Astyanax mexicanus: one gene and its partners. The protein of the gene in region 1 purifies or fractionates together with the protein of each later gene. This does not show direct contact. Links are inferred from orthologs where the notes say so. Each region holds a gene or a part of one and is shown on either strand. Other genes may lie near its edges.

Evidence for each region.
Region 2: the proteins of exoc2 (region 1) and exoc8 purify together in Homo sapiens (affinity purification with mass spectrometry; 7 studies listed by BioGRID and IntAct, counting the BioPlex papers as one, with this or other methods). This does not show direct contact. The link is inferred for Astyanax mexicanus from reciprocal best matches to the Homo sapiens genes EXOC2 and EXOC8.
Region 3: the proteins of exoc2 (region 1) and exoc7 fractionate together in Homo sapiens (co-fractionation; 4 studies listed by BioGRID, with this or other methods). This does not show direct contact. The link is inferred for Astyanax mexicanus from reciprocal best matches to the Homo sapiens genes EXOC2 and EXOC7.
Region 4: the proteins of exoc2 (region 1) and exoc3 purify together in Homo sapiens (affinity purification with mass spectrometry; 6 studies listed by BioGRID and IntAct, counting the BioPlex papers as one, with this or other methods). This does not show direct contact. The link is inferred for Astyanax mexicanus from reciprocal best matches to the Homo sapiens genes EXOC2 and EXOC3.

The regions. Positions count from the first base shown.
Region 1 is NC_064408.1:76,634,633-76,643,310, reverse strand, and holds the start of exoc2 (exocyst complex component 2), read left to right. Parts: upstream 1-5,205; 5' UTR 5,206-5,317; intron 5,318-7,772; 5' UTR 7,773-7,782; coding exon 7,783-7,900; intron 7,901-8,159; coding exon 8,160-8,336; intron 8,337-8,626; coding exon 8,627-8,678. UniProt on the Homo sapiens protein: Component of the exocyst complex involved in the docking of exocytic vesicles with fusion sites on the plasma membrane.
Region 2 is NC_064408.1:45,574,610-45,582,390, reverse strand, and holds the start of exoc8 (exocyst complex component 8), read right to left. Parts: upstream 3,387-7,781; 5' UTR 3,374-3,386; intron 1,660-3,373; exon of another isoform or gene 1,537-1,659; intron 1,452-1,536; 5' UTR 1,433-1,451; coding exon 1-1,432. Other genes in the region: DNA-dependent metalloprotease SPRTN, read left to right, coding at 3,387-3,703, 4,430-4,529, 4,679-4,807, 5,115-5,406, 5,785-6,812. UniProt on the Homo sapiens protein: Component of the exocyst complex involved in the docking of exocytic vesicles with fusion sites on the plasma membrane.
Region 3 is NC_064422.1:17,965,332-17,973,434, forward strand, and holds the start of exoc7 (exocyst complex component 7), read right to left. Parts: upstream 3,422-8,103; 5' UTR 3,129-3,421; coding exon 3,069-3,128; intron 1,421-3,068; coding exon 1,355-1,420; intron 409-1,354; coding exon 224-408; intron 1-223. Other genes in the region: tvp23b (Golgi apparatus membrane protein TVP23 homolog B), read right to left, coding at 6,354-6,380, 7,807-7,935. UniProt on the Homo sapiens protein: Component of the exocyst complex involved in the docking of exocytic vesicles with fusion sites on the plasma membrane.
Region 4 is NC_064411.1:51,609,520-51,617,828, forward strand, and holds the start of exoc3 (exocyst complex component 3), read left to right. Parts: upstream 1-4,666; 5' UTR 4,667-4,818; intron 4,819-6,439; 5' UTR 6,440-6,457; coding exon 6,458-6,601; intron 6,602-6,737; coding exon 6,738-6,957; intron 6,958-8,309. Other genes in the region: ahrrb (aryl-hydrocarbon receptor repressor b), read left to right, coding at 379-1,372. UniProt on the Homo sapiens protein: Component of the exocyst complex involved in the docking of exocytic vesicles with fusion sites on the plasma membrane.

The DNA of each region.
Region 1 (8,678 bases):
TTGTCATGTTTATATTAGCAGGGAAATATCAGTGTGATTTACACAGAGTGGGTGGAGATGTAATCTCACAGTGAATGGAGGTGTATCAGTTCTTTATGTTAGATTTAGTAGTGTATCACTTTTCAGTACATTACAGTGCATTATGAGGAGTACTTTAAACAATTAAGGTATTTTTTATCTGTTTCCAAGTAATGTTTAATATTTTAACATGTTAGTAACATTGTTATAACAGTGATTTAAACTAGCTGTATAATAATATTTCTTAAGCAAAATGACAAAATATTATTATTCTAGAATTTAAAAGTTTATGCTTAATAACACTGTTCTAAAAGGCCAATATCAAGATACCAAGAATTTACCCTCCTTAATAAAAAAGCTTGAAAAACTGATAATGTTTCCATACCAGTTAAAAAGTGCTTCCTCTGTAGTTGGTGGCAAATTAAAAACTGTTTGATTCACTGTTTTTGTGACAAAAAAAACAACAAATGAACATATCTCTACCTGTTTAAAAAAAAAAAAAAAAAAAAAAAAAAATATATATATATATATATATATATATATATATATATATATATATATATATTTCACAGATTAAAACTAAGCAGTGTGTGTAATTTTACATGTCAGTTTAATTATTGGTGAATATGTGACAACCTGCACTATATAGAACATAGAATCACTTGGAAAAAATACATATACACAAAACCTAATATCTACACAATTTCAGCTTTACAGAAGAAAGGTGAAAAACTTTAACTTTTGGTGAGTGTTAATGAAAAAATTATATTGCATTTATTAGGCAATTTTAGAGCATTTCTTTTGGTTCATTCTTCATGACATTCTGTTTCAATTTGAAAAATAACAAATGCTTATACAGAGTTTATTGTTGACAGTGAAAGACTGGCACAACTTTACAAATAAGGCAGAAATCCTTTATTTTTTAGCCCTATACATGAATATGTCAATTGTAAACAATTTAGACAAACCATGACTTATTACTGTACACTAAAACAATGGTTCTCCACAGCAACAAAAATAGGCTCCAAAATAATTCTTAGCTTGACTGTAAAGTACTGTGAAATGTAAATCCTTTAATTAATAGAGAATATTTAGATGTTTATGCACTAGTGTGCAAGTATTAACCTTTGTACTAAAATGCAAAGCCTTTCTTTTCTGTTGAAATTGAGCACCACCAACACAGACTTTCACACGGTGTGGAAGGTTCCCTGCTTCTACGGTTCCCCCTGTTGGTGAAGGTTGTAATATACACTGAAGCCCTTAAATAAATATTCACATCATAGATTTTCACATCATATTTTCTCAATTGCTGCACACTTTCAGAAAAAAAAACACCAAAAGAAAAATCTCCTTCCCCTTTTATATTGTCACAATACATTAATCAGCAAAAACTCCAATGTTCATCATTTTTTACACAACTCTGCACTAAAAAGCAACCTTAGTTACAATTCCACTTTGTAATACACTTAGCACTATATACTTTATTATTTATTGCAGTTTTTCCTAAATTTTGCAAAACATCAAATTTAGTAAAACACATACACCCAAATGTCAACTCTTTTCTCTTTTTTTAACTCCATCATGAAGATTCTTCATAAAGCTCTGGCAAGGGGTGTGTGTGTGTGTGTGTGTGTGTATTCGTTCCTTCACATGGCGCCTTCCCTCCTGGCGATGGGCCCATGGGAACACACTGGGACAGAGCCACTCAAATTAGACAATAGTAAAACAACACACACACAGTCGCAAGTATATATAATCTGAATATTCATCTATAACAGTTTTATATTTAATACAGGAAATAATTGTCTATTTAAAAAGTTGTTTAAGCTGGACAATAACATGTAAAAGACATTGCACTAATCATAACTTCTCAAAATAAAAATCTCTTCATATCACCTGCCTTATAGCAATACGCAATGGGCCATGGTTTACAGTAGAAGTATCAGAGTATTCACAGCTTTCAGTGGCTTTTTTGTCAAATATCAATTTTTAACTAACTAAATATACTAAATAAATAATCAAACATTTTTATTTATAAGAATTGCAAGAAAAGCAGTTTGTTTAAAGTCTGTGTTGGCCAGTGGACTGCAGGAAGAAAATAACATTGGATAATGAAGTAAGTTCATAGCTTTGTCATATAACAATGAAAATATCAAATAAGTGGTCAGCTCCTCAGTTTATTTGTTGATAAATATAAGAATCAGTCTGCTAACAACACAATGGTTTCAATAATTTGATACATCGATAGACAAATCTAAATAAATAGATTTGTTATAATAAATAAAGTTTGTCTGTTAAATATTTTACAATGGGTTTATGTGCAGTTCAGCAAAATAGATTTTACAGCTTCTAATATTCATCCATATAAATTAATAGTAAATCCTCATATTTTTCTTTGATTTCTTCATGTTTCTACTTAAGAAGTAGTTTGTACTTTCAATTAAAGTGGTAACAAGCAATTAAAATAGTTTTATTCAACTCAAATAAATATTTTCAATCAAATATCAGTATGTTTAAAGTATTAATCAAACCATTTTTTTTCTGTGGCAAATTGCTAATAGCCTTTATTTTCAGCAGTTATTGTATAGACCAGGCTTGGGGTCTTGGAGAGGTTGTAACATTTTAGAAAATGTAAAAAATAAATAATGATAATAAACGGTAAGCATAGTCATCATCACCATAGACATCACAAACTATATACATAAATCCCACTCCAGACCTCAAGTTATAAATATCAGACATATAAATAATAAAATATAATAAATATCTTTATGATTCTTAAGCAATATAATAATAGTAGTATAAACTCTTGTGAGTGTTTATGTTTATTCTACTAAGCTCAGCCCCCCTCCAAAAAACACACACACACCCTGGTTGCTTGCTTTCTGTCAGAAGGAACACTGTGCTGCCTCTGCCAAGACCAAATCGTTCTTGATCTCTGAGATTAAGCCGACATAATTAAAAGATTTCAGTCTCTCCCGGGACTCTCTGAGGCTTTATCACTTTATCAGGGGGAAAGTCTCCTTGCCTGAGATAACGGAGCGTGAAGGCGCGCTGCATGGGTGGCCGCTGAAGCAGCCACTATCCTAGAATAAACAGAAATGCAGGGAGAAGAATTCCAATGTAAAACCAAATCACAGTCAAATACAATTTTAGAGTGTATGTATAGAGATCAAATAACCACTAGCAATACTATAGTCTATATCTGAGCGTAATAATATTTTTAGAGTTGTAAAGTATCATAGAGTAACCACAATATAGTAAAGATGGCAAAATAATGACAGGTTATAATTTTGTAACAATAGCAGAAATTAAATCCTTCACAGAAGTGGATTGTATAAAAATGTGCAATAATTTTGGAGACAAAATCAGTAAGAGTAAGCTAAATCAAATCATAGGCAGTTCTGTAAAACTACTGCTGTATTAATAATAATAAAAAAAAATTCAGTGCCCCTTTGCGTGCCCATTTCTTTGGGTCTGCTCCTACTGGAAGTCTTACATAATTGCAGGATGTTTATTGTGTGTATGAGGACAGATTTGAGTGAAATGTGCTTCACAATAAGATGTTTTAGTTTTCTATCAGACATCATTTCCTGAGATACGACTCCCAGCCCGTCATACTTTTCCCATCCTTCACCACCCAGCCTTATTTTTCCATTTTTACTTTGAATTTAAAGACATTTAAAGTCAATTTTGTCAACTGTCCTCATTTGCACTACAAATATGGTTTGTGAAAATGTCAGAAGGCATCTAGACAAAACAGAAAAACAAATAACATATAAAGAAAAAAAACATATAAAGTCAGTCCAAGTGTACACAATTATATGTACCTGCCAGCTAATACAGTTTTGACTTTTTCAGAAAATTGCCCATCTCAAGGTATAATGATAGGCACACACACACACACACACACACACACAGATAAAATTAATATATATTTTTTAGTTTTACTCTTTTACTTCGAAATTCTTTGAATTACTTTTGAAATGACTCAAATCACTTTTTTAAAAGGGCAAATTACATTTAAAATTACATTTGAGCCAAAGAGAAAAGCAAAGCAATCTATCGAGGAGGCAAAATGACAAATGAGTCTTTTGCAGTTTTTGCTGGTACCTGTAGCACAACTTTGAAAATAACTAACTCAAATAGCTGTTAACCTGGTAGACTAAACTAAAAGCTCTTTATCTGATTTACATTCAGCTAGCAATTCTAAACACACTTTTAACCAAACACGAAATACTATTCCCTACATTACATACAGCAATACAAACTCAATACCCTTTTTTATTTTTGGATACACTGCCCTGCAAACACCATACTCATCTACCAGTTACCAAAACCCAGATACAGGTCAAAACTATTCTGCAACATTTCTTTTTTACAAATGTTTACTGTTTTCAGGATACTAGGCAGATTGTCCAGTCTAATCTGAGCTGCACCAATATAGCAATCAGGCAGTGTGGAAAGCTGTGTTATGGCTATGTGAAGTCTAGGCTATACTTCCTCCCACTGGTACTGTAATGTACTCTCCTGCTGTGCAGCACTATACATACTGTATGTCACTTTCATACTTTACTACAATTACTGCAGTGGATTACAAGTTTCTTTATAGTGATGAAGCTTCAAATCTGCCAAAAGAGGCACAAGGCATAGGAACCCATGCCTTCCTCAGTGTCGCTTGGAAGCATGGTGGCAACATCACAAATGGTGTGTGCAACCATTTGCCAGAATGAAGTTCATCATTATCACACTCTTGACAATACCCCAATATGATGACAATATGACTTAACATTCTTTTGTAGATGGTGAATATGTTGTGCTTCATGCGACCCTTGTTTCAGGTTTGCAGTGGCCTTTCCAGGCCCTATGGTTATTTAATTAAGCTGTGAGTTTTGGTACACATAACACAGTTAACAAAACTAATAATGCACGTTTATTTTAGTAGCTAGAGAATTTAGAGGAGGCTATAGCCCCTAAAAAGAGGCCTATGATTTAAATGCAGCTAAAATACTAACAATATTGCAACAATAATATATCTGAATGGTTTTGCTGGTGTTAAACTATTTCTTATTACGTGAAATATCTTGGAATGCCATGAGGAAGTGTTTTTTTTCTTGTGAAAATGTTTCACCTTTTTATCCAGACTACACTTCCAGCATCAACTCAGTCTGTAGCTAAAGTCTGTTCTTTGCAGTGACTGCTGGAGCAGGGAGGGGCCAGAGACGCAGTGACCCGGATGTACACTGAGCGACCAAAACAGCCACAGCCCCTGGTAGAGCGGTGATCTGCGCTAGATTAGGTGGGTTTTAATCTAACATTACACCAGTTAACACGCCGCGGTTTTTATATTAGGTGGTCTTTGTAAGTAATTTATTGTAAAACAGTGTTTTTAGACCTGTGTTTCTCCTGTCAGTCCTAAAGACTGCGCCGATAGCTTCAGAGGCTAACCAGCCGCTCCGCTAACCGAGCTAACTGTTTTTAGCCTCAGCGCTAAGGAACTGTAACGTTAGACTTTTAAACAAATGTAGTTAATTAACGAGGTTATGGTATGGTAGCTAACCTAGCTGGGTAGTATTTATAGCAGCTCTTTGCTGTTCTGAAACACTCCTGTTTTTTTACACTGAAAGCGGTGGTGAAGGTGTTACACCAAGCTCAGCTGTGCTGGTTTGTTATTCTGCTAATGGTTAATAGTAACGCTAGTAGGTGAGCTATTTTGTTTTATTATAAGCAGAACAGATAAGCTGGCGTTAGCTATCTACTGCTGTATGTTAATTTATAGGTCAAATTGTATTTTGGTAATTTTGAGGATAGAGAGCTGTTTCTGAGCAGAGCTGGTGGAGGACAGGGTTCAGTATCTCTCTGCTTTAAAGTGAACCCACTAAAGTACTTTTAACAAATGCTTTAAAAGAGATCACTGGCCTGTTTATTAGAATTTCATCTGCTTTGATCCTCTGACTAACATGACAAGTTTACAGGCTACAGGCATTAATACAGTTGCTGTTGTAAAAATCATGTGACATCCTTAACCGCCTCCCTGAATCAGTTACATACTAGCCAAGTCCTACATTTTCACCTCTCTTACATTTTTTCAGACTGCTTGAACACAATTCTGTATGCTGGTTTTACAAAAAAGCTTTTCACAAAAAAAAAAACACACTTCCAAACTGTAAAATACTTAATTGATTCTGCAAAATAAAGCACAGAAACCAAAACCACATATAGCATTATCAAAACCAAACTTTTGCACCTAAGTGTACACAATTATTTCATATTAACAATTTTTTGTTTATCCACCTACTACTTACTGTTGGGAATAATGAAAAGCGCTCTCATCTTTAGTAAGTTTTGTCACACTACTAAAATAGTTGAAATTGTAGAAAAGTCTTCAGATTGTTCACATGCACAGACAAATTTGCACATACACACACACATACTGCTGTAATTTTGTTTTTCACCACCCAGTGAATAACTGTAATTTTACAATCATTTTTGGCAACTGTTTTGACATTTCCTTATTGTAAAATTCACAAGAAACGTTTTACATTGTACAGTGGCAAAAAGTCAGAGTAAAGTGAAAGGTTGTTATTAAACATGCACACCCCTACTTCATATGTGTTTAATTTATCACACCATCATACTTTTCATTCAAAGAACAATAAATTTTGGCCAACTGTCCTCATATGTACTGTAAATATGATTAGTAAAAAGATCAAACAGCAACTAGGCAAAAAAAAAGATACATTTTTAGATTGTAATGCTTGTTTTTAAAATATATTAGGCCAACAATATAGTGCATGTGTACACACTCATATGTTTATAAAACTTCGGTTTATAAACCATTTTCCTAATTATTTTTTCTGTCTTAGATAGAGATTATCTTTACACGTGCAAGTGAAACAAAAAGGGAAAAATATGTAATATCGCCTACCTACATTCTCAGTGTAGTCTACTGTATGGTTTAATATTTAGTTTTTTTTTATGGAGATGCTACAGAGAGCACATAACCTTGGATGATTTTTAAGAAAACATTTTCAGAAAGCTGATGTAACAGCATTGTCCTTTAAGCTTGTTGAATAATAGCCTTTGTGCTCCTAGTTTAGTAATGCTGTGTGAAGGTGGCAGACACAGCTACTGGGTAGATTAGGGAGAATACTTGCAATGCTGTATCGGTTTTCTTGTATCAGGTTTTAATCAGCAGTTTACACGGAAAAGTTGTTGTCAGACAGTGATTTAACCAAAAGATATTGTTGATACAGTGATACAGTAATGTACTTGTACTATCATTACAGTTACAATTAAATATAATTTTGCCACTTATGCAAATAAGCAAATAACTCTCTGAAGAATTGAATAATAATGTTATCTAAATTAAAATAGTGCTTCTTATATATTAGAACTAAGCTGTAAAATACACTATGTGTAGAGTTGTAGATATAGCTGTAATTAGAGCTCTATAGAACCATGACATTTTTAAATATTGAAAAAATTATATTTGATTCAATCTTTGTGTGAAAAAAAACTTTATAGAACCTAAAATATTTTTTTCACCAAACCATAATTATGTGGGACAATTACATCAGGATCATACAGTTTAAAAAATATATCAGACAAATGTATGTGATGAATATTTAAAACTGATATTTACAATTTTAAACAACAAACAATCCTTACAGCAGATGCACTGCCTTTGTTAAGCAGCATAGATTTGCAGTAATCACATTTAATATTTTTCTTTGTCCTCTTTGCATTTGCAGTGTGGGAACAATGTCTCGTGCCCGCCAACCTCCTCTAGTGACTGGCATCTCGCCCAATGAGGGCACACCATGGACTAAAGTCACTATCCGTGGAGAAAACCTGGGAACCGGACCCAATGACCTTATCGGTAACATGCACAGTGCTGAATATATAAAGACTTAATAGTTTAGTCTAAAGGGAGTAATCAAAAGTCACAGAGATGTATTTAAGTGACTCTTTTTTATTTAAATGTTTAATGTGAAGGCTCTGTTTATCATGATATTCAATTTTTTTTATTACTTATTTAAAAGAAACATTTCTATTTATATATATCTTTTATTATTATCTGAAAATGAGCACCTGTTTTCCAGGCTAAGAGTATAATTCTGCTTCTGTATTCCTTTCAGGTCTGTCTATCTGTGGTCATAACTGTCTGCTGACGGCAGAATGGATGTCTGCAAGTAAGATTGTGTGTCGAGTTGGTCCTGCTAAAGATGACAAGGGCGAGATCATAGTCACAACCAGGAGCGGAGGCCGAGGCACATCCACTGTGTCCTTCAAACTCCTCAAACATGAGAAGATAGGTTAGAAATGCACTTGCATGTTTTAGATCTTTCTGTGTGTATATAGTCATATACAGCAATGGCAATTGTTATCTTAAACAAAGATTAGAATTGTGGCAGCAAATAGAATGTACATATACAGTATTGTCTTTGAAGTTTGTAAATTATTAAATATATCGTATGACAGGCTTATAAACAAGGTTTATACATTGAATGTTAATGTTGGCATTCTTGACTATGAAGCAACATTGACTGTGGATCAGAAATTATTTTAAAATATTTTTGCTTTTTGTATTTTTGCATGTGTGCAGGTATTCTGGATCAGTCTGCTGTGTGGGTAGATGAGATGAATTACTATGACAT
Region 2 (7,781 bases), about 31 Mb from region 1:
CTGTGGACAGACTTTCCTTGCTGTCGAACACCTGCTTGCTGAAGGCGTCCACAAACATCCTCATGGCCGAGCGGGACCACACCACAAAAGCAGAGTAGCAGCCTGTGTTGCCCGCAAAGTCAGTCTCGAACTCGCGGGCAGTCTCCAGCAGGCTGGTAAAGAAGATGTTGCAGAGTTTCTGGATGTAGAGCAGTGTGGCACCCTCGATGCGGAGCTGCCGGATGGCCGTGTGTACCGCAGCTGCACGATTCTTCAGGAACAGCTCGCAGGCCTTGGTGGACTGCCCCAACCGAATCAGCTGAGACACAGCTCGGCGGGTCGCTTTGGGACCCCCACGTAACGACCTGTCAGGGGAAAGCTCAAACACCAAGACCTCAGTGAGCTGCCGGACACGCTCGTCCACTTTGGCTCTAAGATCTTTTACCCGTGGAGTGACTGGCTGGTCCTTTAGGTACTCATTCAGCTTGTCCAAGAGGTCCACAGCACCCTCAAAGTCCCTCTGGGCAATGCAGACATCCAAGTCCTCAGGCAGCTCCTGGATCCACTCTGGGCTCAGGTCCACCAATTCTTCCGAACCTAAGGGTTCATCCTCATCAAAGGGGTTAGTGGAGGCGACCTCTTGCCGAACCGGTGATGTGGGGACCTCCTCCTCTTTCTTGTGTCGATCTTTTGCCACTTTGTTTTTCTTTGTCTCCTCCAGGATCTCCAGCCATTCTTTCTTGATCTTGCTGTTCTCCGCTTGGAAGATGCGGCTGTCTGGGAACATTAGGATCTTGAACATGTCTTTCATGGGTGGGTTGTCTTTCACGTTGACAACTGCAAAGCTCTCCAGGTCGTACAGAGCGTTGTACTTGTACTTGACAGTGCCGCGTCTGTTCGCCAGCCAGGTTGCTATCAATAGACAGTCATTCATTAGGAAGGCGTGCACCTTCTGAATCTGGGACATGTTGTCAGCATCGTATTCAAACAGGTCACCATTGTAGACCAGGTATCTGCCAGGTGCCTCCATGATGTTCTTGCACCCCTCCACCTTTTCCAGTAGTGTTGTGAGGGTCCTCTGCTTCACCTCCTCTGTCTCCTTGGGAAAAGCAGCCAGCATCTCTTTGGCAGTTTCATCCTTGTCTGTGGAGAGCAGGGCCTGGGTGATGCTCTCCATGATGCTCTTCTGCTCGGTCAGAATGTGACTCAGCTGGTACATCTCGCTCTCCAGGTATGAGATCTCCTTAGCCGTTTCGATGAACTGCCTGTAATTCTTGTAGACATTTTTCTTCAGGTTCTGGGCTGTCTCGTCCGCCAGGCTCTGGATCTTCTGCCGGTGCTCCTGCAGATCTCTGTCTCCGTCTGACTGCTGAGACAGCTGCTTCACGTAATTCTGCGGGTCGAAATTAGCCGATTCCAGCTGTTTTCGCAGCCGTCCTCCGGTGTCAGCCATCTCAAAGACTGGGTTATTCCTGCAGAGATGGAAAAAAAAATCGCTCTGAGAGTCGAAATATTCAGCAAAATCAAGCCGCCATTACTGTTTTGCTAACTACCCACCCTCTTCCTCTCCCGGAAAGAGACAAGCCTGCGCCAGAGAACGTACACAGAGGAGAACACCCAAACAAAAAATCTCTTCTGGGTTTATTTGACCACTAGAGGGCGCCCCCGAGAGAGTCTAAAACGAATAGGTTATGGAGCATTTAAACAAAATCATAGTTTATATATATATATTTTTTATTTTTATACCAAAAAAATCTTCTAATTTCCTTAATACGGAACAATATCAAAGGTTTAAGCACCGCAAAAATATTTTAGAAACCTTTTTTTCCATTTAGAAGGCATTTAAACATGCATTGGCTGTGTCTCCTATGACAGCATAAAGTATCTCACTAACCAGTCAGCTCGCATTAGCAGAAATGCTAGCGTCTCTGTTGTCTAAAAGTAGAAAAATGTAGATACATTTAAAAATACAGGTAGGGTTTTCTTTGCTTCTTTAGCAAAATGCTTAATTCTACTTTCAAAAATTAAAGGAATATTCTGGACAAATAGTTATTTGCTATTTTTAATTTGAGATTTTAGCCGTTTAGCTCCATTCACCCCCATTCATTAAGAACTCGCTCTCGGGCTCCTTCTAGGCTCAATTGTCTTTTGTTGTAATAAGATGGGGGAGAGGAGGGAGTGGGGCAGGCTCCACATAAACCGGCTCTAGCGGATCTTGGTTGCGTCAGAGCACGGGACTGGTGACAGCTGGATTATAAAAAATGTAGTAAATCATTATTTTAGCTCATTTCAAATTTGTAAAATAGCCTAGCTATCCTTCTAAAGTGAAGAAGACTGATTTCAGAATAATAAATAAATAATAAATAATAAGCTGTAGCTTGTGTTTATAGAAAGAAGGTTTAAATCTGAAGTTTATTTGTGTGCTTTTTGTAAGTCAGTAGATGAGTTTGAGAAGAGACCACTTAAAAATGATTTTTTTCTTTGTTTCTTGATTTTACCAAATTTTAAAAGCCATCAAAGCAAGCTAAACTGCTTGGATTTTTGCACCAGGAGTGGTATAAAGTTATCCAAAAGCAGCGTGAAAGACTTTATGAATGTGAACTTGTTTTCTTTGCACTATTTGAGGTCTGAAAGCTCTATCTCTTTTTTTTGTTATTTCAGTCATTTCTCATTTTCTGCAAATACATGATCTAAATGACATTTTTTTTTATTTGGAGTATGGAAGAAATGTAATTTTATTCAAACATATACCTATAAATAGCCAAAGAAACTGAAGTGGTCTCTTATTTTTTTCCAGAGCTGTATATATAAATATATATAATGTATGAAAGAATTTAATAAATAAATTAAATAAGATAAAATTAAATATTACACTCTTACGGCCACGCCCCTCTGTTTTCGTCTCCCGGAGGACTAACCGTATCCCGACAGGCTGTGCGCTGAGGCTGTGTGACGCGCAGCCGCTCAGAGCTGCTAACGGCTATTTTGGTTTCAGAAACTAAATAATGGCGAGTTTAACCGATTTCATTACATTTTATTCACAACGTCTCGGTTAGACGTTTTAACATTGATTTAGACGATGTCCTATTGGTAAGAAAAAAGAGTATTTATTTAACGGAAACGTGGTTGTTTTTGTATGAAAACCGGTGTTCTGTTTGATTTCTGCTGCTCTGTCTTCTTTAAAACACGATTTTTCTTCTCTTTTCTGTTGCAGAGCTGAATACTTTTTTACCTGAGATGAGCTCTGAGTGGAGTGGTGGATGTCCCAGTCGGCGGCAGGTTAATTTAACTACTTATAGTTGATCTACAGCGGTGAGAATGGTAGCAGTGAGCTCGGTTTCATAAACACAACATAATCAGTCCAGAGTTACCCCGCAGCAGCAGCAGCACTCACCGCCTTCACCGTGATGGAGGACGAGGACTTCATCCTGGCGCTGCAGCTGCAGGAGCAGTTCAATAACGAGGCCCTGGCTCCGTCCTGGAGCGCTGAAGACCACGGAGACCACGGAGACCTGCCCTTCAGTAAGAAGCGGAGGTTGGGCTCTGAGGAGTCCTCGGACTGGGCTGTAGTAAACCCTCAGCCGCCTCTCTCCATCGTGGACGAGAAATGGGAGATGCTGGACCCCAGTCCAGATGTCCGAGCCATGTTCCTGCAGTTCAACGACATGTTCTTCTGGGGGAAACTCAGCGGGGTGGAGGTCAAGTGGAGCGCAAGGATGACACTGTGAGCTTCAGCTGATATTAACTTAGCTCAATTAAACACAACCTTAAATTCACATTAGGGCTGCCACAAACGATTATTTTTATAGTCGACTAATCACCGATTATTTTTTATGATTAGTCGACTAATCGGATTATACGTTAATTGAATATAAAACACAGTTTATCACAATAGAATGCAGCTGCTATTATACACTGGTCACTGGTCCTCCTGTTTTTTTTTTTCCAATTGCATTTTGGATGCAAGAGTTCTGTCACTGAGTAAAAGCGTGAAATATTGTTCACAAATGCCACCCTGAGAAACTGATCCCATCCAGATAGGGATATAAACACTCTGTTCCTGTCCGCTTAAAATATTTAGCAACTCACATCTACACCAATTTTGATACTAAACTCACTCTGATATAATTATGTCCCATCCACATTGCACATGTCCTATATTATAAAAAAAATATATATATTAAAAACTTTTCCAGTTTGGAATTTGCAGCTCAGAAAGGCAGTATCATGTTTAATTGATCATTGCATATCTTTTGATATAGCTAGGTGGGTCAAAAATTGGTTCCTTTCAGGTCCTAAGTTGATTCATTAAATCATGTACGTATGTTAAATGAGGAGGGCCATTAAAGTCATTTGTGCCATTGCCTGTGAGGATCAGAGTCTGGCCTGGATTTCAAAATATTAATGAAGTAAAAATTGTATATTTATTTATTTTAATCTTTAAATCCAGGTGTGCTGGTGTGTGCTCTTATGAAGGTAGAGGTGGTCTGTGTTCAATTCGTCTCAGCGAACCACTACTGAAACTCAGGCCAAGAAAAGACTTGGTGGAGGTTAGTAAATTTGTGCAGATTAAGAAAAGACAAGGGACCTGTTACTGTCTGTGATTATGTGTGTAGTATTATATTGACAGTTTTTGTTTGTTTTGTCAAATTGCTTTTTTAAGTATTTTTTCACAACCTTTATGAAATTCTGTTTCTAGACACTTCTGCATGAGATGATACACGCTCTTCTGTTCGTGACCCAGAACAACAGAGACCGGGACGGTCATGGGCCTGAATTCTGCAAACATATGAATCGAATCAATAAAGCCACTGGAACCAACATTTCTGTATGTATTAAATGGACATTTATTCTGAATTAAAACAAAACGATATGGAACATATATTTTACGGTTATTTGTAATGACATTGTGCAAGGACTTTTTTCCCCCTGTAGTAATTAAATATTCCAATAAACTACTGTATTCATACCTGTGCATTACCAGTTAACATACTATAATTGTACATCTGCACACTGCTTCTGTCTGGTAGGCGTATGTAAGAAAGTGACCAGTAACTGTATTATATGATGTATTATATGACATTTCAGTTCCTGCATTATATTAAACTAAGCAGTGAATCTCCCTAATCTTCCAGGTTTATCACTCCTTCCATGATGAAGTGGATGTTTACCGTCAGCACTGGTGGCGTTGTGATGGTCCATGTCAGAACCGTAAGCCGTTCTTCGGTTACGTGAAGAGAGCGATGAACCGAGCTCCTTCAGCCAGAGATCCCTGGTGGGAGGACCATCGAAGAACCTGTGGAGGAACGTACACTAAGATTAAAGAGCCAGAAAATTATGGAAAAAAGGGCAAGAATGAGGAGAAGAAGGAGAAGAATGCCTCCAAGAAGCCTGCGAGCAAAATTATCCCAGCTAGCAGCACTGCAGGTGATTGGGCTGTCATTAAATAAAGCTAATTTAGTCACTAAGTTGTGTTTGGAGTAACTGATAAGTCTCAGATGGAATTACGTTTTTATTTAAAAGTTTTTTGTTAAAAAGGGCTTAATATGTGGTGTATAGGTGCTACATGTTGTATTATTCATTATCCATTTGCATTGCAACTTGGAAAGAGTCAATATTTATTTAGCAAATAGTTGTGGTATTGCTAGAAATGATCTACTTTGTAATCAAATGAGTGGTTCAATAATCCTATATGTGTGTTGCAGATTATATAAATAATATATATGAATATAATCACTCACATTTTTGTAAGCCTAATGTACACACAAAACATTTGTAATTTTTTGTTTACTTGTCCTCTTTTAGGTTCTGGCTCTCAGGACATCAGGAACATCATTCCTTTCACTGGTAGAGGTTTTGTTCTGGGAGGGAACACACAGCCACCAGCATCCATACAGAAACCACCCAGCCAAAGCTCCACACAACAGCTGAGAACTCCAGAGAAACCAGCTAAAACTCCTCCCACAGACACCAGACCACAACCCAGCTCAAACCATGTTGATCGGCGGGTCAGCACCAGCACTGTGACCGCACTTCCGAAAAGGTCCGTCAGCAACACCAAAGCCTTCATCAACATTAATGGCTCTCCTGTGAGAATCACAAAGGACAACAGCAACTTGATAAGACCTAAACAGAGGACAGTGCAGGACCTCTTTCAGGCCAGGAGCCCGAACTCTCCTGAGAAAACACCTAGCATTTCAAGTGCCTCAAAATCTGCCACTGCAGCCACAGCATCCAGCCAGCCCTTTAGAACGTCAGCTGTAGGTAGTGCCTTCGACCGAAAAGCCACTGGGCAGGTTTCTCGTGGTACAAACCGTACTGAAACTAACCCGTTTAACAAGAGTTCTTCCAGTAGCTCTGTTGGACCAAAGCCTGGTTCTACAGGGCCAGTCCTTTCTAAATACTTTGGCAGCCCCAAAACTTCCTCAGCAGGTTCCAGTTTGCCGAATTTCGGAATCCAAAAGAAGCCAGAGAGCAGCACTAGCATTACAAGTTCCAACTCGAGACACTTTGGAAGTGGCTCACATGTTTCAGCCTCAACTTCTTCCAGGCCATTCGGAAGCCCCCAAAAGCCAGGTGCTGCTCCTGCTGCAGGAGGGCGGAAGAGACTGAGAGAGGATCGTAACTCTGCACATATCTTTGATTTCTTTCAGAGGGAGGTCAAACAGTCCTCTGCATCCGTTTCCTCCAGGGAGCAGCAGGAGGGGAGTAGGGCTGATGGTGGGACTGCCCCTTCTCAAAGCTCCAGTGCTGTGACAGTGCACTGTCCTGTGTGCCAGATCAAAGTGCCAGAGTCCCAAATTAATGTGCATTTAGACTCTTGCCTTAGTTGATAAATGTTTAAAGGCAGAGGAGTGGATGAAGTGTTTTTAGTAGTGTTTGAATGTGTTCTGATGGGTTTGGTTTTAGCACTTTGTGAGGATCACAGAGGTAATTGAAATACATAGTTTGTCTTTGAAAAGGAAACATTTGGTAAATCCCAAACAGCTCCCTACTTCCTAGGAATGGGCAATAGGGTAAACATTATTATTTTAGGGCATTTTTAAGATATTTTCACATTACACGATATGTATCGCAATACACGATTGCAAACAAAATTCATCAGTTGCGGCGCTCCTAAAAATAACAAATAAATAAAATACAAATACAAATTTGTATTTTAAAAAAAGTTAGTGATTTATTTTATTATTATTATTATTATTATTATTATTAAATGTGCAATTGGTCAGTGTTCTTTAAGCACTGATGTTATCCGAAAAATACTCAGGAAAGTATAATATGTATCATGATCATAAAACTGATCATGATACAGTAAAATATTGTCATATTGCCCACCCTACAACTTTAAAAGTTATGAAACTAAAACTATGGCTCCACCCCATTCTATTATACTTCTTTTTCAAACCTATAATGTGTCTTATTCCGAAGCCCGATGCGCACCTCCCCAGAAGTATAACTCTGCGACGCAGACAGCAGCAGCTCTGATTGGTCCACAGAGTTCCCTGCCTTTGCACCTTAAACAGCAGCGCAAAGCAGTGGTGCAGACATCCACATGTAGAGAAGTATAAATGCACTCCACTGCACAGGGCAGTTGCGTAGGCTACACCGTAGACAATGTCTTCACTCAACACAGACGTATTAGAGGCTGACTCACCCTCCTAGTGGCCAGGAGCACTAGTAAGTGGCTAGATTAATTGGCTAAGCTAAATTGGGGAGAAAAAAAATCTGATTTACTGGGATTCGTGAAGGTTACATGTTTAAGTCAAAGACAGCAACCTTGTCTTGTAGGGTTTTTTTTTTCA
Region 3 (8,103 bases), on another chromosome or scaffold:
GTGGATTCTCTGAATTAAGAGATTGTTTAAGAGTAGTAATGAGAATAACGCTCGCTCTTAGCTAATGCTCCAGCACACTGAACTGACATCACAGCACAGCAGCAGCTTAAAATGCAAGAATAATTGAACATAAAGAGTGAGAGTTTTGTGTTATTGTTGGAATATGATGACAATATTGTTGCCATTACCCTAGTGTTAAGTCTCATTAGCATAAGACACTCACCCCTCTTTGATGATTCTGTCAGTGTCCTTGGCAACATGGTAGTAGCTGATGACGTGGTCCAGGCAGAACAGGGTTTTATCCACATTCTCCTGCAGACGCTGCAGATTCTCCGTCTGCTTATGCACCGGGATGATGGAGTTCTCCAGAGCCATGAGGCGGCTCTCAAACGAGGACAGGATGGACACCTGAGTGACAGAAATAAAACTATAGTCGAAAAAAAGTTTGCTAGTAGTTCTAGCTTACTTTCCCGTTCCACCTTAAATAGTGAAACAGATGGCAGGAGCTGCAGCATTTAGGGCGGAAAGGAAAAATAAAATAAAATAAAAGCTAATTTCATCTCCCCATTACAGAAGAATCAAGATATTAGCAATAATAATTAATTTCTTGACCCTTTCTAAATACATACAATGCCCTAAAGTTAACTAGTTAACCAGCAGCTAGGTTACGGAACTTTAGCGCTCCACTGCTATCACATCAGCCTGCAGGCTCACCTAATATCCTGGTAATTAAGCAGTGTTATTAATTAATTTATTGTTATTTATTTATTGTTCATTGACAAACATCATTGTGATATACCAGTGGTTCCCAACTCAATCACTCAGGAACCACATTCTTCCACATTTAGTGGTTTAATGGTTATAACAGTAACACATTAGCAGCTTCAGGACTAGTGTTGGGGACCAGTTTGATATGCAAATTTTGGTATATTATGGAGGCTATCTTCACCTTTATAGGCTATTGTTCACCTTTATATTCACCTTTCCTGTCTTGCCCAACAAATTTAGAATACTGTTTTTTTGTATTATTCAGTTTGTCACCCTAATAACTATAAGAAATTGGTTTATTTCAGAGCAGAATATTTATATAAAAGTCACTTGTGCTGTCCTTCTGATGACATATAGGGTGCTTGTAGGGTTGTCCCAATTCTTAGGGGGAGGATTTCACTCGAAAAGAAGGGGTAGGAGTAAATGGTAGGGCCAAGGGGTGAAATGGGATTGGATGGGTTTAGAATGGGACAACATAAAAGCAGAAAGAATGTTGAGGTGTCCAAATACGTTATTAAGCACAAAATGCAAAAGATAATGTAGCTACAAGACATAAATACACACACACTGTTTCTGAATCTCTTACCATGCCTTTAGTGAGCTGGTCACTCTTTTCCAGATTCTCCCGAATGAAGGACAGAGTTTCCTGCTCCTGCAGTTCAGCACACACACACACACACACACACACACACAAATCAACAAACCATTCTAAATTTATCTTCAATAAACACCAGATACACTGGATTTAGCATAAACTGCAGGAGCAAAATGACCACATGTACAATTCTACTGGACACCACGATACAGAGATTATAGTTAAATTTTGAGAAAATAACCCATCATATATTTATAAAGCTTTAACAACAGAAAACTTTACCTTTTTACAATCAGAACAGGACTGAATACTGAGCAGTAACTTTTTTTCTTATTGTTTTAAAGACGGCACATATGTATAAATATTTAAAAGGCTAAAATCCAGATGAAACAGAAATGATAACAACCATAATCAAGCCCATAACCTTTTGGTCTAAAAATCACGTCAGAACTATTCAGAGATTCCCATTATTTCCATTTGACCTCCTTTAAGCCCTGTCTAAAAATGTATTTTAACATTAAACTTCTATTCCTCTATGTACATTACTATTGTAAGTCACTTTGGACAAAAGTGTCTGCTAAATGTAATGTAATGTAAAGTAATGTAATGTAGTTATATGGAAGACTAAACATCTGAATTGTTGAAATAGCCAAAAGTACACTTTTAATGGCCTTTTCTGTGCACACGCCACAAACAGAGTCGCTTGAGGTATGCTAAGGCACATTTGGACACATTTTAGTATAAGGTGCTGTGGACTGATGAAACTAAAATTGAGTTATTTGGAGGGCGGTCGGTATGCATGGAGGAAAAAGCATAAAATGTGGTGGTGGTTCCATCATGCTGTGGGGCTGTGTGTTCAGTGCAGGTACTGGGAATATTTTTAAAGCTGAGGGTATCATAGATTCAATATCAGTAGATTCTTGAGAATAATGTTGAAAGTCTGTGGCATGATTTAAAGTGGGCTGCTGTTCATGCTCAAACACTATCAAATCTGACTTAACTGAAGATGTTTTGTAAAGAAGAATGATCCAAAATACCTTCAACCAGAAGCCAGACTATTATTGGAAGCTATAGGAGAGTTTAGAGGCTGTTATTTCTGCAAAAGGATGATCTAATAAATAATGATGTAATTTTATGTGCCCACATTTTTGCACCTGTCTAATTTTGTTAAAAAATGATTGCACACTTTCTGTAAATCCTATAAACTTCATTTCACTTCTCAAATATCACTGTGTTCATCTGCTATATGATATACTTAACTGAAATTGCTGATCCAAACAACCAGTTATATTTAGATTTATAAAGGAAACAAAAGGATAAAACACACATTCACACACTGTGCTGTGATACTCTCAGATGTGAATTGGGGATATCAGGAGTTAAAGTGAAAGACAGAGTGCTGTGAGGAATTTAACATATATTTTAAGGGTCTGTAATACACACACTGTCATCATGGGCTCTTTGGGTTAAAGCATAGTGAGTGAATGGCCTGTATTTAGATTAGCTAAAGCTAGATTTATCACAGCAGCTCTGCACTGTAGAGAAGACCACCACACTAAGACCCTACAGCCCCTCAGAATAAACCGTTAACTGTTAACATACATGTGTGTATTAATGCTGTAGAGTGTGTTTACAGCGTGTCAGTGTTAACAGTGTGTAAATAAAGGATGTAACGTTAATTAAGGCTATTGAACCGCAGCCCGACCTGCTTCAGCTTCTCCTCGATCTCCCGCTTCCGCGCGGACGCGTCCTCCGTCGGGATCATCTCCACCCACTCTCACACAGTATAGTTTAATATTAATAATCCGAAATTACTCAGGTTAAACTGATCACATACAGCTTTATATCACCATTCCGCCCTGAGTAACAACACTCAACACCGAGCTCCGCACAAACTAACGACCGGGGAGTCACTATCCACTATATTACAAAATAAAAGCCTTAGATAAAAAAAATAACGTTTTACAACGACAAAATTAACATTAATATTACAAAAAGATCCCACGTTTTAATTTAACCCCAACTGGACACAAAACAGTATGAGTAAGAATCAGAATCTGTAGTTTAAAAGGGTAGAAGAACGGAAACGGAACGGAAATCAGCTGACTATTATCACACCAGTTCAATATACTGACAAACGCTTCGACACTTCAACATAAAAGTCCTCCCTCATCGCCAGTTATTCTATTCAGTTGCGCTGCCTTGTCAACCCGTTCTACACTAGTGTAGTGCATATTAAACCTAACTTTACAAAAACAAAAAAGCACCGTATTACAGCATGTTCCCAGTAGAAGGCCCAGTAGATGTACGTTAGTATATTTGAATAGCATAAATCACTATATTGTGGCGGCTCTGGGTTGTGTGTGTGGCTGCCTGCAGGCATGTTTCTGTTCTCCTGTGTGCGAGGATGACAGGGGTGGGGCATCTCCCTTGGGAGGGGTTATGCAGAGAGGGTGGGCACCACTCTGGATCTGCCATCTGGGAGACACACAGCTGGGTTGGTGGCCTTTGGGCTATTTAGCTCTGTGGTTTTATGGTTTAGCTCTCCTAGTCTTGTTAAAGACTGTGAGTGAGTGATAAGCCAGTTCAATAAAAGGAGCTGTTGAACATTCAGCATGAGTCTCACGGGTCTTCTTTCCCCTTCCACGCCACAATATTATGGCCAATTAATGTCAATAAGAGATCATTATAAAATGCTTTGTGTTGTTTTATAAAATATTTTGTGTATTTTTTTTATTATTATTAATTTCCATTTACACTTTTGTGCAATGACAGTGAGTCCAGGTTGTTTAATCCACACACAAAAACACATTTAATAAATAAATAAAATAAATTCATAAAAAAAAAGGAATATAGAAAAATCGTAGGTTATCGCATGCGCAGTGTCTTCAGAAAGCACGCATCGATGGGTAGCACAACTCGACAGAACACCTGCTTTGACGTTGCTCTGCATAAGCTATGATGTAACAAATATGAACTTTCAGATTTCCACAAACAAATATTATTGGCTTGGTCTCTAATGTTTCTCTACATAAATACTACAATACTTCAGGAATAATAAAATTCGTTTTTATTCTAGGAAAACTGGTATTTCTTAAAAAAAAAAAAACTGTAACAGTGCTAAAGCAATCGTAAGTGAGATTTATACATAATAAAAATTTTAATTATTAACTTATTCTAGACAGAAAGGTGTTTATTAATAATTAAGCTCTTCGTAAAGTTCAGTGCTTTTACCTTATTTTAATTTAAATAGTATATTCCAAAAGTAATCACTTTTAAACTTTTAAAATATAAATATAAATTACTTATACATTAGAATGATTCTCCCAAACAATAAAGAATAAACTGAACTGAAAGAATGCACTGAAATGTAGACAAATCTATTTAATCCAGTTCACTTCAAGAAACATTTCATCACATCTCATCACATTCCACAAATACAGAACTCATACTAACTCATACTGACTGATCTAACAACCTCTCTTATAGATATGATAAACATTCTAACATCTCTACAGAAATGCTCTGAAAAATGTTCTATTCATAGTTCCAGAGTGTCAAAAGGTATTTTACATTAATTCATTTACACAGGTATGTACATGTTTTACACATCAAAGCAAAACATCAGAGGAAAGTATAAAGACATTCGTAGTTAGAGGTGGGCTATATGGCAATAATTTATCATATTATTATTCATTTTGTTATTGTGGTTCACAGCATACTTTATACTGAGCATATTATGGATATCATCAGTGCTTTAAGAAGACTTATAATAATTAATAATGATTAATAATAAATATATCTGTACTCATTATGTGAGAGTAGCAGTTTCAGTCAAAATATCTTCACAAATATTAGTGAAAATCACTCAATATTGTGAATGAACACTTTTGCCATATGGCACACCTCTATTTTTAGTCCCAGTAAATAATAATAAAAAAAAACAGGTTTAAAAGTAACATACACTATCTTGCAAAAACTATTCAACCCCCTTAAAAATCACTAAATTAGTCATATTTGTATATTTGTGTTACATTTTACAAAAAAAAAAAAAAAAAAAAAAAAAATCATGCTGTGTACACATGTTGGTCTGTCAGAAAAACGATTTAGTTTTAGAATATATACTGTCAGAAAAATAACTGCGACAAACAAAATTATTGTCACTGATATGATTATGAATGATGCACTCAAATTTAAAAATAAAAACGTATAATCTCAGAATAATGAACTAACACAAAATGAAATAATAAACAATGATTCAGTATCTGCAAATTGTGTAGTTAGTAAAATAAAATTACTTTTGCTGCTTTTATAGATTTTTCTTATGTAGTTATTATTTTTTCTTATGTAGTTATTTGATTATTCTATACATTTTGTTGACAATTAATTTTTCCATATATTTTCTCATTTTTTTTATACAGAGTGAAAGGCCTGTAGATGACAACAGGGTACTCTGTAAAATACTACATTTAATTTCTAAATTAATAAAGTTAAAACATTTTGTTTTAATTGTTTTAATTTGTTTTAAAATGAAAAAAAAATCTGCATGTAACACTGCCAGGATAAAATTTCAGTTTTAAGTAATATATTTTCCAGGAAAAAAAATTGTGCTAAACACTTTTTAAACGGGTTGAACAGATTTGCAAGTCCCTCTATTCTGTGATATATATTTTCTTACTTAACTAAGTAACAGTGAACATTAAAGAATAGGAGACAGGACATCCCCAAACTTCTGAAGGGTTCTGTTAAGTAACATTACCATTTTATAGGTCCAATATATGTTAATATCCCACAGCATATAAATTAAATGTTAATAAGTTAAAGAAAACTCAAACCATAACGTTAACCAAAACTAGAACAGGTGTGTTTGAAATACTGCAGCATCTGCAGAGCGGAGTCAGCTACACACTAATGTTCGCTTCAGGAAGTCCTTTAACTCCTCCTCCTTTTAAACAGCTGGAGTGACAGTGCAGACTCCTCCTCCTCCCTCTCACGACTCCTCCTGTTTACTCAGAGCCTTCAGTAATAAACATAAACAGCAGAAATATAAATTAGTGCATATTAACAAGCAAGAAAATGAATGACACTGGAATATGATCACTATCAGTAGACTCTGTATTAATAACCTCAGTTGCTTTTCCAAAAGACATTCCCTTGATTATGATTTGTCCCAAAAATCTCTTCATTAGCTTTTTGTATTTTCTGACCACATGGTTCATATTAATAAAAATATGCCAAAAATAAAAATTTGGCCAAATCCCAAATCAATCATTTTGTTAAACGTATTTTGTCTTGCTTTAAATAAAACAATTACAAAACTACAATTTAAAATATTTATTCAATTAATAATTGAAAAGTCATTCTTGTCATTAAGATTTATTAGGCGTGGAATTCCATTTGGTTATTTAACAGGCTCTTTGACCTATCAAACATGAAGGTAATAATAATGTCATAGTTGACCAGTGTAATGTATGTATTTATGGAGCTGATTTTAATGTTGTTGCTGATTTGTGTTTGATCAAGGTAACAATAAAGTATTATGCATATCGTCGCTGTCCAATCAAAAACACTTATGTCCAAAACAGCAACTTTACAGGAGAGAAAAAAACTTGTAAACTTTAAATGGAAGTCAAGGTAAAAAGAGTTTGTTTCAGGTCATTTTAAAGAGTTTCTGTTGGTCCGTTCATCAAGAAATTTTGGCACAGTGTAAGGGACAGCTTGTCTGTTCAAATAATGTAGTAAACTAAAAATCGACAAAAATGGAGATAAGTGTTTTTCACAGGACAGCAGCGATATATCATATGCATGTATATACTGTTTTTTCTGCACTATAATGTGCACTTAAAATCCTTTAATTTCCCAAAAATCAACTATGCACCTTAAAATCTGGTGCACCTTATGTATTAATTTTACCAATCAGGATGTAAGAAGCAGTAAAAGCCACTCCACTGAAGTGCAGTGTTACACAGAGGCTGGAGCAGTATTAGCATTATCCACTAACCGCAGCGCTAGCTCTTTCACCATTTTAAATATGAGAATATCGACCTGTAGTCTGCGTGTTTACTGCATTAAAACTGCTGTATAATAGCACCCTGGCTTACCAGAACACCCAAGGTTCCTCAGTGTGGCGCTATCGGGCGGCATTTACTAGGGCTTTGTGCTGCTACCTGCGTCTAGTGCTGCTGCTAACCGCAGTAAAATATTGGAAATATAAGTTTACTGTAAATAAACGACAGCACTTTACCCACCCACCCACCCATATCTTGTTTTCCAAGATATCCCCTTGAGTAATTAATAATAAACACAGGCTTGTTTGCTCTTGTTTGCTCCTAATAACCTTCTTGCATGTTTTTGGACTTGCTAATCCCCTACTTATCTGTTCTAAAACCTCCTCCTCACCGTGATTGGTCCTAATAACCCCCTCATTCGTTTCTGAGACCCACCTGTTTGAGGAACTGTGTTCCAAAGTAGTTGGTGGCCATGTTCTTCAGATTCGTTCTGGTGCCGACTTTACAGCGAACATATCCATAAAGATTCGCTCCCTGCAGAACCACGCCCATAATTACCACTGCCTGTACAAAGCACAGAAACACAACACCTGGGGGTTATATTTAAAAAAAGCAGGATTTTACAGTTTAGACAGATAACGTAAGCCAAAACTCAACCATATCTAACACAACTATATCTAATACAGCTTAAATTCCTTACATTTCAAGTTATTTGCCAAAATAACAAGGAGA
Region 4 (8,309 bases), on another chromosome or scaffold:
TCTGACTGGTAGAATTCATACATAAGGCACATCGGATTATAAAGCTGTCCACTGTTCAAAAAATGTTACATTTCTGGTTCAGCTGGCACCTACTATCTGGCCTCGCATTAACCTCCATAATTAAGGCAAAGGTTGAACTTCTCTCGCAAGATAAAACCTCACAACTTGTACAGATGTGGGTGTTCCTAAGTCGTTTCTTGGTTTATCACTTCATGATCAGTTTGCATGACTTTTGGCATATCTTTTTATCATGTGGGTCCCACATGATGGGATCAGATCAGATGCAATTGAAATGAGATATTCACTAGTCATTAGTGGTTTTTAAAGTTATAGCTGATTTTTCTACATTTTCACTTTCTTTTTTTTTTTTGTTCATAGCGAGAAGAAGTACCGTATGTCTCGTAGCTCCACTGACCCTGGGGACATGCTGTTGCTCAACTGGACCACCACGTCCTCCAGAGACCCCTGCCACAGCAGTCCATGGGCTGCCCTTGCCAAAGAAGGCGTCCCCTACAGGACCGAAAGCTACTACAGCCAGGACGAGCCCCTCGACTTCTGCCTGTCTTCCGTGGGGGTCCCCAGAGTACATGCTACAGAAAGTCCATGGGATACTCGAATAGGTCCTACTGGTTATTTTTCTAGCAAGTTAAGCAAACACGCACAATCTGGCAAATTCCGCACTTCTCCAGGCCTCACACCAATGGGATCACAGGCCAAACCTTACGGACACAGCGAAAGGGACGGGTACTGTGGCAATGGCAAGACTGAGGGCAGGTACATGGCACATAATGACTGTTACGGTGGTCTCCTGCTGCCAGAGACCGCCATTAAAACAGAGCAGGACTCAGATTCAGAGAACGGCTGCAGTAGGTACACCACCATGCCCCACAACGGGGTTTGGCGCTATGGCATGACCTTCAACGATAGCCATCTGGTAAAAAACGAAGGAAACTACTACAACCACTGTAGCCCATGCAACCAAAGCGGTGGCAAATTGGCTGGTATCAGCCCAACGCTTAACGGCCACCAACGGTATCTCTATGCAGGTCCCAGCAAGCCTTTAAAATGTGCCCTCAACAAAGATGGCGCCCATTCTGACCCTCTAGGCAACCAAGCACACTGCCTCGATGGACACGCCTACCTAAATGGATCTACTGAGCCCAAAGTCTTCGCCCAGCCAGACTACAAGCTGAGCTATGAGTTCAGGAGCCACAGTCTTCTCCACTCCATCAAACGGGAGCCCATGGACTCTCCACCCTGGCCTGAAAGCAGCCACGATCCCAGCCAGGCACATGCAGACAGAAATGTGGCGAACTGTACACAAATGAACGCAATCACGCACAAAGCCAATCCCTATTTGTTTATGCAATGATGTCTGAACTGATCTGTGGTACTTTACGGTCAGATATGTCTTATGTCTTTGTAGTTAGTGATGGATTAAAGGAATACTCCACTGTTTTTTAACCTAATCTCTATGTAAAGAGTCTAAATCGCACTAATGACTTGGTGTCTTGGTGGTCATTTTGTCAGTGCATCACTTTGGAACAGGGACTTGCTGGGTTTTTCTGGTTTGCAATTTGTATTGGCCTGATTTGGACAATTTCATTTCATCAGGCTCAAACTTAAGATTTTTTACTTATGAAATTTATTTGAGGCAATTTTTGATATAATGATTTTAACAAGTGATTTTGATATAATGATTTTAACATATGGTTTGTCAGGCTGCTTTTAAACTAACAATATCGTGTCCTCCTTGGGTTCATTTTCGGGACAATTTTCACTCTCAATATCAGGCTCAGATTAGGCTGTATTTTACTTCCATCTATGTACATTTTTATAGGAGCATAGAACCAGATTGGGCCAATTTTCTATTTGAGTTGTAAATTGGGAGTTGGGACACAATTTTCTTAATTTTATTGTAGAACATTATGCTCATGTCAGACTCAGATTGGGCCAATTGCTGCTTTTGTCATCAAATTCAGATTGGATCAATTTGCACCTAATACAATAGATTCACATCAGACCAGTTTTGCCTTAGAGGTTGACCTTGATTTTTTACTTAAAACATCAGGCGTAGATATGGTCAGCTGCCAGCCTGCTACTTGCAACATCAGACTATGTAACATCCATCAGACACTTACTGTATTATTACCGCACTAAAAAGCACACCATATTGGGGGGCACACTATTAATAAATGTCTATTTTCTGGTCTATTTCCAAAAACAAGGAGCACCGGATTATAAAGCTTACCGGGGTTAGCAGCAGGCTACAGGCCGATAATACTCACCTCTGAACGGCAAAAGAGCTAGCGCAGTTTGCTGCTAATGCTAATACTGCTGAAGAAATAAACTGAAACTCCTGTATATTGCTGCATTTCAGCAGAGTGGCTTTACTGCTCCTTACAGCCTGACTGGTAAAATTCATACATAAGGCGCACCGGATTATAAGACACACTGACGATTTTAAAGAATTGTAAGTGTGCCTTATAGTGCAAAAAATACGGTACAATAAACTTCTTTTCTGTCCTTTCTGTCTCATTCTCTAGAAAATAGAAAATGAGAAATTACAGTTCAGGGGAACTTTGGTCAAGTCAAGATGAGACTATTAAGACCTCAGAAAAAAGAGAGATCAGAAAAGAGAAAGTCTGTTTTGAGTCTCTTTTTTACATAGTAGCAGGAATCACAATGTAATAGTTGTCTATTCAGTTGAATCTGTGCTACAGACGCAGCAGAGAGAGATTAGGTTAAAAAAATGCTGAAGTATTCCTTTTGAAGCTCAGGTTTACCCCTCCCTTTGCAGATGCAGGTCTCATAGTAGCACTGGTTTTGAGGGGAAGTTCTATATTTTAGCACTTTTACAATGATGTGGAAATTTATTTTAAATATATGTATATTCAATGTTTTTTTTTATTTGTATGTAATGCAAATAACTCTTAAATGCCACAAAAATTACATAAATGTACTGTTTTCTTTAAATAAAGATTACATGTTGGTCTTCATCCCAACTGGCTTTAATACAGGTGATATGTATCATGTTTTATGATTTTTAATCATGCACAATGTATAAATAAAGGGAATTTAATGGGGCGGGGGCTGTTTTGTGTTTTAGAATATATGTTGATTATTTGTTATAATAAGTTGTTAATTATGCACTGTGTTTTGGAATGAATAGCTTGCAGAGGTTTAAGTTGCTGTCTGAAACATATGCTGTGTGTTTACACTTGTCAGATTAACAATAAAAAAATATATATATCAACATAAAACATAAACCGTTATAATTTTGCAGCTATATCCTTTTCATAACAAATATTGCTGAGTTTACAGGCACATTTATCTGTGGTCTATCTGTGTTGTTTACCTGTTTACAGACTGTTAATTCCCTTCTGTCAGTTCTGTCATTTTTGTAGTCTAAATGAATAGTGAATATTATAAGTAATGGATTCTATGGTATGTATTTTCTTTAATGATTTCAACAAACTCATTTTGCAGTATATTTTGAATATGGTTCACAACCTCTTTTATACACGATTTAGCTGCTGAGCAGCAATCACTGAAAGTCGTATTTTTGTGTTTGTATTTTTGAAATGTAAGTAAAATATTGCATTGTCCCTAGAAAAGAGTCTTGTCTTATTTTAGGCATGCAGGAAAATTGTGAAAAATGTGTTTATTATATATTTATTTCTACAGTTATTGACGGGAATAATTGCAGCAGTATTAATCACACTTTATCACTACTGTACTGCAGGATTCAAACTCTACATCTAACCATTTTACTTTTAATATCAGTGACAATGCGCCCACACACTCAAATCAGCAACGTTCTCTAACCCTTAGGTCATGACTAGTGTTTCCTTTAAAATTAGCTAATTGTTTACTTAAAGTACAGTTTTAATTTAATACATCATTAAATAAAATTAATGATCACTAGGTTTTAAGTTTAAAAGTTCAAAATTTGTTGTTTTTCCATCATCAATCTTAACAGATGTAATGCAACCAAAAAAGCAGGTTTATTCAATGTTCTTTACTATCAACTGCCAGACCTGACTGTTTACTTGTTGACTAATGTTAAGATTCAACTCCTAACATTACTAACTGGATAGTAATACATTATTATTATTATTATTATTATTATTATTATTATTATTATTATTATTATTAATAGTAGTAGTAGTAGAAGTAGTGTTAATAGTGTTATTAACATTATTTTTAGTGTTAATATTATTAATATTAACAAATATATGATTATTATTAATGTTTAAAAAAAATAGTAAAAGTAATGATAAGCTAAACTAATATATATATATATATATATATATATATATATATATATATATATATATATATATATATATGTTCAAGTGTCATTAACATTAACATTTTGGTTATTAACATTATTTGTAATGTCATTTTTGTGAATTAGTATTATTATTATCATCATCATTGTGGTTATTATTATTATTATTATTATTATTATTATTATTATTATTATTAATTGCGTTATGAACGTTATTATGATTTTATATTTTTTTATTATTTATTTATATATATTTATTATATATTTTAATTCATTAATTTCTTTTTTTATTAATTGATTTTTTCACCTGGTCCTGATCTGGCTTATGGCTGACCCTGCTCCTTTCTGCGCAAATCCTGCGCAGCCGTGCCTGTCTCTATGGGCATATGCGGGGTTGGGCGGCGCAGCGACCAGGAAGACTGAGCGCCGCAGTAAGAGGAAAATAACGCCAGATAATTAGAATAATATGATATTAATGCAGAAAACACTGAGCGGGAGCCTTTAGGAACACCAGCTGAGCCCGGGTAAACATTTGTTACACCGTATTTCACCTTAAATAAGCGGAGAACGCGCTCAGAAACCGGTGCCAGGAGCTGTTTGTGCCCAGGCTAAAGAGTTAGCTTACCTTAGCCTGTTAGCTTTAGTGTTTATGTAGCGTTAGCAGCTGCAGCTAAGCTATATGTTTATGTAAATAGATGTATATATCTGTTCAGTTTAGCTAGCTAAGCTTGTTAGCTAGTGGGTGCAGCTCTGTCCACCTCAAACCTGCTCAAAATACGTTAAAACCCGCTGTTAAACAGTCATTTATTGTTTTTCAGGAATGGGAACATACCAGTCTTTTTCCTACATTGTAAATGAATACTGAAGTTGTCCAGACTATGAAGGAACACATAAGAAATCATGTAGTAACGTTAACTTAAAAGTGTTCAACAAACCAAAATACTCTACTCTTATCTGGGGGACTGTTAACTTGTGGTTTCTGAGGCTGAGGCTTGTCCTTTCCTGGTCCTTATAAGTGCCAGTTTCATCATAATCTTATGTCATGCCAACTCTACCTCTTCACAACTGATGCTCTTAAACTAACATTAAGGGGCAAGAAATTCAAGTAATTAACTTTTGACGAGTTCAGCACAGCTGTTAAATGAAAGACTGCCTTATAAAGCTGAATAAGAAAATCCAGCCAAGATGTGCAAAGCTGTCATCAAAGCAAGAGGTGCTACTTTGAATAATCTATATTTAATATTATAAAACATATTCTGGTTTGTTTGTTTTATGTTTTCTTTACTAAATAATTCCATATGTTTTTCTCTTTATAGTTTGGATGACAGTATTTATCTACCGTGCAGCAAATGTTAAAATAATGAAAAAATACTGAATTTTAGGTGTGTCCAAACTTTTGACTGGTACTTTAAAATTTACAGAGAGACTAGACACCCATGTATAACTTTTAGAAACAAACTGACACCTTTCTAAAATAATCGCCTGATAAAATCTGGGTTTAAAGTTTAGACCGCTGTGTCTCCTCAACTTGCTCGCATTATTAGCCTGTATAGGCCTAGGATGGTAAAGTTACCTGAGGTAACCTAGCCTTAGCTTTTATTTGTCCAGCAAAAGGGCTTCTTTCTTTGTGTAAATTTCACTTATATGAGTCTTGAGTAGCTCTGCTGAGGTAGTTTTATGATTAAAATAGATCTACTTAGATAAATTTGTGACTTGCATTGTACTGCTGATGTAAATGTATGATTAAAATAGCTCTACTGCTGGGATTTAAGGTTTAGGCTACTGTGTCTCCCCACCTCTCTCTCTCTCTCGCTCTCCCTCTCGCTATCATTGTCTCTCTCTCTCTCTCTCTCTCTCTCTCTCTCATTCTTGCTTGTGCTGTCTTCTGTACTGTGGATCTGGGACTGAATATATAGAATTCGGACTAGAGCGATAAAGTTGCCAGAAAAAGAGTTATCTGTTCATTAACCCAGCTATCTGCACTATTCACATATAAAAAAATCTACTGTAAAAAGAATCTACTTAAAAAATTATTAGAAAATTGACCAAAGTTAATTTAAAGGGTTTGCCGATGTGCACAGTATTTGGTTTTAATATAACTGACGAAGCATGTTTTTATTTATTTTTTTATTTTTATTTTTACAGTGTGTGCAGGTTGCCATTATGGAGGAGACGAATAGAGAGGCCGTTGCCACAGCGGTGCAGAGGGTGGCGGGGATGATCCAGCGATCAGATCAACTGGATAAAGTTGAGCAGTACAGACGAAGAGAGGCACGAAAGAAAGGATCTGTAGAGGCCAGACTTAAAGTAAGTTTATCAGTGCCTTTGTTATATATCAACTGCAGTGAGAGTGTTTACTGCATTACGAGCCTTTATTAAATATATTTATAATTGTCGTTGTTGTGTGTAAATGTATAACAGTGTCTTTCCCTTTGTCCTACAGGCTGCAATCCAGTCCCAGTTGGACGGAGTTCGAACAGGCCTCACTCAGCTGCACAACGCTCTGTGTGATGTGAAGGACATCCAGAACTCGTTAGCAGACGTCAGCAAGGACTGGAGGCAGAGCATCAACACCATCGAGAACCTGAAGGATGTTAAGGATGCTGTGGTCCAGCACAGTCAGCTGGCCTCTGCAGTGGAAAATCTCAAGAACATCTTCTCAGGTATGAGTTGTTGTTTGTTTGTGTTCTTCTATCTTTGTAAACTGACTGTTTTTTCCAGCTGAAAGATTTAAGCTCTACGGGGCTAGAGTGATAACGTTAGCTGAGGTAACTTAGCCTTAGCATTTATTTGTTAGTTATTAGTAAAAAACTGTTTGTCTTTCTCAGTGTAAATTTTGCTCACATGTCACTTGAGCAGCACTGCTAAGGTAAAGGCATTTTTGGGTTAGAATATCTATGCTGACTTAAGTAAATGTATGACTAAAATTGCACTGCTCTGCTAAATTTATGATTAAATAGCTCTACTTAGGTAAATTCATGACTGAAATTGCACTGCTGTGGTAAATGTATGTTTTAAAAGCTCTACATACGTAAAGTTCTGACTTAGGTAAGGTAAATTCAAAAGTTAAATTGTATTGCTCTGGTAAAATTATGATTAAAATGGCTCTGCTTGGATAAATGCATGACTGAAATTGTACCGCTGAGGTAAATTTGATTTAAATAGCTATCTGTAAGAAACTCCTGAAGACAGAGCTCTTCAAAGAGCACTTACTCTCCTAACACCTCTAACTAACTACCTTCCACTACCAGACCAGGAGAATCTCTCACTATCTTTAATAAACTCCTGAAGACAGAGCTCTTCAAAGAGCACTTACTCTCCTAACACCTCTAACACACTAACTACTTCTAACCTCATTTCCTTCTTCCCCTCCTTCACTCCTCTATCCCATTATTTCCCTTTGACCTCCTTTAGGTCCTATCTAAAGATGTTTTTACCTTTAACTTCTATTACTTTTGTACTTCACTATTGTCAGTCGCTTTGGACAAAAGCATCTGCCAAATGCAATGTAATGTAATGTAAAATAGTGCTTTTTGGGTAAATTCATGACTCAAATTGTATGACTGAGGTAAATATATGCTTTAAATAGCTCTACTTAGTTAGGCATATGATTAAATGATCACATGTAGGTAAATGTATCACTTAAATTGTACTGCTGAGGTAAATATATGATTTAAAATAGCTGTACTTATGTAAATTCATGACTAAAATTATACTGCTGATGTAATATTATGATTAAAATAGCTCTGTTTAGTTAAGTGTATGATTTAAAATAGCTATACTTTGGTAAATCCAGGACTAAAATTGTACTGCTGAGGAAAATTTGATTAAAATAGTTTTACTTGGGTAAAATTCATGACTAAATCTATGCTTTAAATATCTCTACTTAGATTAATTCATGGCTAAAATTGCACTGCTGTGGAAAATGAATGAATAAAATAGCTATACTTAGGTAAATCCAGGACTAAAATTGTACTGCTGAGGTAAATTTATTATTAAAATAGCTCTATTTCGA